Linked DNA regions of Rattus norvegicus. The protein of the gene in region 2 purifies or fractionates together with the protein of the main gene of each other region. This does not show direct contact. Links are inferred from orthologs where the notes say so. Each region holds a gene or a part of one and is shown on either strand. Other genes may lie near its edges.

Evidence for each region. Proteins that work in one complex are often made in the same cells at the same time.
Region 1: the proteins of Pagr1 (region 2) and Ncoa6 purify together in Homo sapiens (affinity purification with mass spectrometry; 3 studies listed by BioGRID and IntAct, with this or other methods). This does not show direct contact. The link is inferred for Rattus norvegicus from reciprocal best matches to the Homo sapiens genes PAGR1 and NCOA6.

What each region holds. Positions count from the first base shown.
Region 1 is NC_086021.1:164,388,976-164,392,995, forward strand, and holds the start of Ncoa6 (nuclear receptor coactivator 6), read right to left. Parts: upstream 2,801-4,020; coding exon 2,566-2,800; intron 1-2,565. UniProt on the Homo sapiens protein: Nuclear receptor coactivator that directly binds nuclear receptors and stimulates the transcriptional activities in a hormone-dependent fashion. Coactivates expression in an agonist- and AF2-dependent manner.
Region 2 is NC_086019.1:191,052,728-191,056,954, reverse strand, and holds Pagr1 (PAXIP1-associated glutamate-rich protein 1), read left to right. Parts: upstream 1-1,454; 5' UTR 1,455-1,818; coding exon 1,819-2,297; intron 2,298-2,457; coding exon 2,458-2,540; intron 2,541-3,267; coding exon 3,268-3,467; 3' UTR 3,468-3,727; downstream 3,728-4,227. Other genes in the region: Prrt2 (proline-rich transmembrane protein 2), read left to right, coding at 1-5. UniProt on the Homo sapiens protein: Its association with the histone methyltransferase MLL2/MLL3 complex is suggesting a role in epigenetic transcriptional activation. However, in association with PAXIP1/PTIP is proposed to function at least in part independently of the MLL2/MLL3 complex.

The DNA.
Region 1 (4,020 bases), on a different chromosome or scaffold from region 2:
TTTAAAAAAAAAGAGTTATACAATGACAGAAGCCATCTAGGAAAGTCTATGGCAATCAAGTGAGCTTCCTGGAGATGGCCACCATTTTGCATGGCTGTGATGGGTTACTCTAGGAGGCACAGCCCCAGAGACTTTGTCCCAGGCTTGGTTCTCACTGCTGATGTGCCTTTCCTGCCATTATTACATAGCTAATGACTCTTGGGCATCAGCCCACCCTATTGGGCAAATTTCCTGCAGATCAACATGAAGATGGAACTTTTATGAATTAATGACTTTATAAAATTCAAATAGTTTTAGAAAGAATGTTTAAGGAGATAGTTTTAGTGTTAGAATCAAAAATAGAATGTGCCCCCCTTCATAGAATTGTAAGTAAAGGCTGCAGAATAAGGAATACCATAAGCTTTCATAAATTACACTGAGAAGAGAAATCGGCTTAGGACAGATTTGTGATCAAGGAAAACCATTCATTGTAGGTCAGGTCCAAGGATGAAGACAGTGTGCTCTATGGTAAAGCGAGGCCATGGGAAACTGTTGCTTTGAACTTATAATGAGCTTACAGAATGAAACACTGCTCTGAACTTACTATAGACATCCTTCTGTAACTCCCTTTTGTGTAACATTTTTTCTGTGAGGTAATTTTATAAAGAACTTTCGTCTAAGAAGGCATAAAAAGGTGGAAAGAAAAAATAAAGTATGGCTTTTTGCGGTTTTGCCCCATTCACCAAATGTATATACATGTATATATGTATGTATACTTGTACATACGTATGTAGTATATGTGTATGCATGTAAGTATGCACGTGCACTTGTGAAATTGATGAGACAGATGTTTAGGCCCAGCCAAACTGTGTGCGTGTATACGTGTGCATGCCTGACTTTCTTTCTTTCTTCTTCCTTCCCTATGAAATTGCCCAAAGTAATCAGCTTTTGGCTCCCAAAACAGTAAGAGAGAGTTAGAAGGCCAGAGGTCATCAGCCTTTGGCTTTTGGCCGATGCTGTTCAGAACCTGAATGTCAGGGCTGGCCCCAGCAATATAGTATAGCACTTTTATTTCTAAGTATACAGACCAAAGAATTGAAAGCAGGATCTGGAAGAGTATATCCACATTTACAGTAGCATTAGTCATAGTAGCTAAAGCACAGACGTAATCCAACTGCCCAGCAACAGATAACAGTAAGTGAAATGCAGAATATACATACATACATTCTGTGGGATATTTGGCCTGAAACAGGAAGGAAACCCTATCATGTGCTACAGCATGGGCAAACACTGAGAACATTATGTTAAATGAAATAAAGCAGTCATAAAGATACACAATTCTGCTTATATGAGGTAAATAATAGTACTCAAAATAAAGAAAGGGGGCTGGAGAGTTAGAGAAATGGCTGCTCTTCCAGAGGTCTGAGGTTCAATTCTAAGCATACACATGGCAATTCACAAATGGCTGTAGCTCTAGTTCCAGCAGATACGATGCCCTCTTCTGGCCTCTATGGGCACTGCATGCATGTAGTGCATTTACATGCATGTAGGCAAAATACCATATACATAAATAAATCTAATACTTTAAATTAAAAAACAATCATAAAAAGTACAATGGTGCTTATTAAGGGCTTGAGTAGGTAGGGAATGGGAAGTTTATAAGAGTTATAAAAATGCTACTAGTAATTGTTGCATATTTTAATTGTATTTCAGTGTCATTGAGCCATATATAAAAATTGTGAATATGGCAAACTATTATATGTATTTTACAATTAAAGATTTACAAAGTAAACTGAGGTAGTACTGTTTATAAATACATTTTACAGACAAGAAAGGAAATAAAAGATATCCGGCAACTCCAGACAAAGGCTGGCCTGTGTTTCCCAAATACTGGGATTAAAGGCGCATGCCACTGCTCAAATTACATCTTTCAATATTAATAAATTGGCTTTATGGAAAATGCTTTCTCAAAATCCAGTTATCTATAGACAGTGTTTCTATATGCCACTTAAGCCCATTCCAGCTCTTACACGATTAGATACTAAATATGAACAAAGAATTTACTTGTTCTAATGTAAAACAACAAAACAGAGCACTTGCTAAGGCAGTGGGATTAATATACTCACAAACTCTAAAAGTGCTTAGGCTATGTTTAGTTAAAGTGCTCTTAAAGAAGGAAACTGTGGCCCAGAGAAAGGCTAAATGAGCTGTGTGGGAAGCTATAGGTACCTAGCGAAATCAGAGAAGGTAAAAACAAGCTCCAAGAGTTAGGCCTACTGCTGTTCCATGACATTTGGACACGCCGAAAAACTTTGGCTCTTGGTTCCACAGGGCAGAGACACCAAAGTTTCTTCCAATCTGATCATTACTGAAAGCTATCTGTGCTCTGCACACATCAGGTGTCTTCATACTAGTTTAAATGTTAATATAGTTAAAAACTGTTTAATTACAATACAGTTACACTTTACTAGAAACTTTTCAAACCAGGCATGGTGGCCTAACCCTGTAATCCCAGCATCATGGCTGTAGGCAGGAAACTGTCAAAGCACACAGCAACAAGAAGGAGGCAAAAGCTAACGCAATTACCCATGTGTAACAAGCCGGGCACACTCTGTAAGATTGTATCCAGTTTCCATTTGAAGTCTTTATCATCTATATTTCCTTTGAAGGCTACAAAAATTGTAGAATCCTCCAAAATACTATCACTTTTTGTGTCATCATCTTCTAGTCCAGAGTCAAACTCCACCTCTGAGTCTCCCATTGTTGATGAACACAAGGAAGTATAGATGTCTTCAAAGTTTGGAAGGTCATCCAAAACCATGGTGTATTAGTCCAGAAGTATATGCAAAGTGAACAGTAAGAAAACCTTCAAAAAAAAAAAAAAGAGGAGAGGATGCAGAGTATTATAACATCATTACATATTCAACATATCATTTTAGTAAATATCTAAACATCTATACTTCTACAAAAGATGCAATTTATTTACTAAATAAAATTTTCTTTCGTAATGCCATTTGCTACATTTTTGGTAAGACTAGAATATTGGGAGGAATATACAAAGTGTCACAGGAGAATGAACGGACCTGAGTGTTCGCAGCACACACCTAAAGTCTCAGCAGGGACATCACAAGTTGAGCACACCTGGGCTGCAGAGTTCAGTTCTGGTCTCAAACAACAGCACCCAGAAAATCCTTTATAAAATAATTATACTTCCTCTCCAGCTGCATTTTAAAAATTCTAATAACATTAAAAGTAAACAAATAATATAAAGATTTTTTTAAGGCTAAAAAAGCTGCTGCTTAGCGGGAGAAAGACCAAGTCTTGAGAAGGCCTACAAACTGTGGGTATTTAGCAACCAATTCAAAGTAGGAACAGAAAGAAAAATAACCTAATGATATATGCCAGGGTCTTGGTAAAACAAGAATAAGCCAAACCAAACTCAGTAGCTGGAAAGCCATAACAGACTGATGAGATGGTTAAGCAGTGAATGCAATTTCTAAGCCTGGGCACCTGAGACTGTCTCAAAAAACATAGGAGGACTGGTGAGATGGCTTAGCAGGCAACTGCGACTGCTACCAAGCTTGATGCTAAGTTTGCTCTCTGAGATCCATATTGTGGAAGGAGAGAATTAAACTGCAAGTTGTTGTCTAACTTAAAACACACACTAAGCCCATTCACACAAACAATAAGTAAATACATGTTTAGACATTTTTTTTAAAAAAAGGAAAGACAAAATAAATGTTAGGTGTTAATAAAATAGATTAAAACAAAAATATAAAAGATTAATGAAACGAAGAGTCCTTTGATAACCAAATTAACCAAAATAAATAGACACAAATTAAGAAAATTAGGTGGCTAAAGGTACAGCTCAGTTGATATAGAGCTTGCCTAACATGCACAGAGCCCGGAGTTGATCCCCAGCACTGCATAAAGCAGGCACAGTGATACAAACCTGTAATTCCAGCACACGGAAGATGGAAGGAAGCAGGAGGATCTCAGAAATACAAGATCATATCTGGCTAAAAGGGAGTTTAAGGACAG
Region 2 (4,227 bases):
AGTGAGGGGCTCTGCCCTGCATTCCAAGACTTTTCTTCCTGTTGGGAGCTGTCTTGGGTCCATCCCAATCCTGGGAGAATCCCAGTCCATGGCCCTGGCCCCCACCCCTAGGGACTGAGGGAGCCTGAGCGGGCCTTGTTTACAGCTTCTTCCCTACTCCTGCATCCTGCCAGGCTCCTCTGCCAGCCGTAGGCTTCCTTTCTCCCTGCACTTTTGCCTGCAGATCTCCCCTCCTGCCTCTTGACCCCCCTAGTCCTGCACTCTGAAAACCCCTCTGCACTTCTGGACGCCTCCCTGAACATCTAAATTGTACTCTGCACCTCCGCATCCCTCCCAGCCTCCTTGCACTTCTCCCTGCCCCTGGAATCCTCTGAACCTTAATTAACCCTGACCTCCCAACTTTCATTGTCTTGGTATCTAACCCATCCCTTTCTTCCCTTCCCTAACATTCTTTCCCCTTGCCACATCCCCTGACCCCTTCTCATCTTTCCCTTAGCGTCTTCACCCTCCTGCCAACACTTAGTCTGCAAAACCTGCAGTACTTAGGTCAGGCTGAGGGAAGAAGGATGGTGTGGGGAGAGGTCTGCCTAGCTAGGGGCTCTGACTGTTCTCTACTGGGGACCACCCAGGCCCAGATCATACCCCCACCCTAACCCCTAAGGTGCCTATTGGGTCGCAAAGCTGGCAAGCCAGACCTCACCTGGGGTACTTGCACAAGAGTGGGAGTCCTGGTTCTGAACATTCAGGGGAGGAAGGGGTATAGCTGTGGCTGAAGAGTCAGCCTAAATTGACCTGCCCATTTGGGCTTTTTAACCTCAAGAGTTTCTCGAAGGTCCATTTATGTGCTTTGTAAACAGTAGAATTTTAAAAAAAATTTAAAAAGGACCAAAGTTCTCAACTGCAGGGAGCAAGGGAAGGGCGCGAGCTCTGTAATATTCTCTAAGAGGACGAGGGAGGTTTGTTGCACGCGACAGCCCACTGAGGAGGCAGAGAGCCAGCTGCGATGCATTTCGGAGTTGGTCGGTGTTTTTTTTGTTTGTTTGTTTGTTTTCTTTCTTTAAAAAAAGTTGGGGGGAAAACTAAAATTCCTTTAAAAAAATAAAACTGAGTCTCCCTTTTTGTATGCTGAATGCTGCATGAGTCTTAAACACTAATAAACAGAGAATGCATGAGACTGGCCTCAGTTGGTCCCTGTGTTGGTTTGCAGAGTCAAGGTACTGCTTTCTGGCAGGCCCTAGTGAACGGAATACGCATGCGCTGCCGCAGTGGCCATCTTTAGTATGGGCCGAAGTTAGTGATGCCTGAGGGCCTCATTGCGCATGCGCAAGTGGTCTCTTTTTTTTTTTTTTTTTTTTTTCCCCTTCCAAGTAGTTTTGACTACCACGGAGCCTCCGCGCGCCATTTCTCTGCGCCTGCGTACTGCGATCCTGCGCAGCCAGGGAGGCGGGTTTTAGCTCCAGGTTTGTACCGCTGCTGAGTAGACGCGAACTAGGTTTGCCGGGTTTAAAAAAATGGCTTCCATCCAGGTGATGGAGAAGGCGATGTGAAAGCGAGAAAGCAGGCCCTTCCCTTTCCAGCTCCGAGCGTGTCTCCTGCCGGTCCCTGGGAACGGCAGAATTCTGGATCCGTGGGGTGGGGTCTGTCCTAGCAGGGACCTGAGCGCCCCCTCCTGGGGACCGTGCTCTGGCCGCAGTCAGTTGTTGGACTGCCTCGTTGGTGATTTCTTAGACCCCCACTTGATCTAAAGCCTTTTGGGTGAGGCACCCTGGTTTGGTACTCCAGAGTCTCCTATATTGCTGGGCTCTTCTCTAGTACTCTATGTCCCTTGCCCTGGGCCATGGAACCATTGCAGGCAGCACAGCGGCGCCTCTGTCTGAAGAAGGGGAAGTGACTTCCGGCCTCCAGGCTCTGGCGGTGGAGGACACTGGAGGTCCCTCTGTCTCGGCTAGTAAGGCCGAGGAAGAGGGGAAAGGCAGTCAGGAGGAGGCCGGGCGTGAGGCATCCAGGGCTGAGGAGGCACTAGAAGCTTCCAGCGCTGTGAGCGACGAGCGTGCCGAGGGAGAATCCGAAGACTGGTGCGTGCCCTGCAGCGACGAGGAGGTGGAGCTGCCGGCCAATGGGCAGTCCTGGATGCCCCCACCCTCCGAAATCCAGCGGCTCTATGAACTGCTGGCTACCCAAGGTACTCTGGAGCTTCAAGCGGAGATCCTACCCCGCCGGCCGCCTACTCCTGAGGCCCAGAGTGAAGAGGAGAGATCAGATGAGGAGCCAGAGGCCAAAGAGGAGGAGGAGGAAAAGTGAGGCCATGCTTTACACATTATTCACGGGACTTCTCTCTTGAACACTGAAACTGGAGGGAGGGGAGAGCAGGAAAGGGAGAGGCAGCGGGCTGGGGTATGCCAGCAGGTGTTTGGGAGAGCTTCTCTCACCCTTCGCTTTCTGTCCACCCTGTTTCAGGCCGCACATGCCTACAGAGTTTGACTTTGATGATGAGCCAGTGACACCCAAGGACTCACTGATTGACAGAAGACGTACACCAGGTAGGAATGAGAGGGAAGAATTGAGGGGAAGTAAAGGGCCTCTTTTAGTTACCTCAGAAGAGGGCTGGTCTGAGGCCTTGGCTGATTTCTGCCGTCATGCAAGATGGAGCATTCACACAGTGGCAGCCTATTTCTGACTTAGGTCAATGCTATACTTTTCTGTCAGAGACCCACAAACCTTCCCAAAAGTCCAAGATCTCCTGACATCCCAGCCCGTCGCCTTTCTAGAGTTTACTTTCAGAATCATTCTTGAGCTCTCTCCCAGCTGGTTAAGCCAACAGCAAGTTGCATTAATTAGCTCCACTTCTACAGTTCCACCTTCGATTTCTCTTGTTGACACTTTTCACAGTTCTAACTAGTATCCGCAGTCCTGGTCTTAGCAACCAGAGTAGTCCTTCTAAGTGAAGTCTTGTCTTTTCTCTGCTTGTACTCCTCCAGAGGATTCCATCACAGGGAAGAGCATGTCCAGTGCCTCTGCCCCAGTGCCCTGTACTCAGAATAAATCTGCCTCCTGCCCCAGGACCTTTGCACTTGATGGCTATGTTCCCCAGCCATTGCATTATGGGTATCTTAGCTTAATATCAGCCATCCTGTGTGTGGCCCAAACCTCAACATTTGCTTCTCTGTGCTCCCCAGGCCTAAAAAGTATGTATTTAACAAGATCTCTACGTGTAGGGGCTTGGGGATGCTCACTGGCTTAATGGTGTCACATTTCCTACCTTCTTAGGAAGCTCAGCCCGGAGCCAGAAACGGGAGGCGCGTCTGGATAAAGTCCTCTCAGACATGAAGCGACATAAGAAACTAGAGGAGCAGATCCTTCGGACCGGGAGAGACCTCTTCAGCTTAGACTCAGAAGGCCCCAGCCCTGCCAGCCCTCCACTCCGATCCTCAGGAAATAGTCTCTTTCCCAGGCAGCGAAAGTACTGACTGTTGCTGCTCTGGCCTACAGGTGCAGACTGTTTTGTGCTGAGCATGGCCGGCCTTTCCCATCCCAGGCTCTTGTAACAGAAAAAGCCTCAAGCTCCCAGCGCAGTGCCTTGCAGGAGAGTGTGTGTGTGTGTGTGTGTGTGTGCGTGTGCGTGTGTGTGTGTTGTTGTTGTTGTTGTTGTTGTTTAGTGTCTGTTTACAGTTTTGAGCTGGATATGCTGAATCTAATAAAAGATGCCTGATGATCTTTTCAGAGGAGAGACTGCCGCTCAACCCAAGCACATGTTCTTACTTGGGCAGAGGCAGAACTGTATCCCTCCACAGTGATATACTGAAGCCAGATGAGGCAGAGGTGCAGCCAGCCATCATCTAACACCTCCCCCTTACCCCAACCCCCCTGCCCCCCCCACCAGGTCCTCTGATTTCCTAGACTCATCCAACCCCACCAGTTAGCACTGAAGCAGAAATCGCCAGTCTGGGAGTATGAACCTAGCTGCTGTGTCTTCAGTGCATCCTGAAGGAGGAAAAGATCCAGTTGCAGGGCCCTTTAAATACCCAAGCTCCGCCCCTGCCGGCCCAGCCCTTTAGGGAAGTCCCGCTTGGTGAGGGAAATTCCTGACCTGTGGCTTGCAGCTGCCAGCTACCCTGCTAAATGTGAGTACAGATTGTGACCCTGGCGGGACCCCCCCAGACTCCAACCCAGGGGTCTGTTCCAAAGGCTCTCTCTAGTCTTCCTGCTTTTCAGAAATCTTTCTTGTGA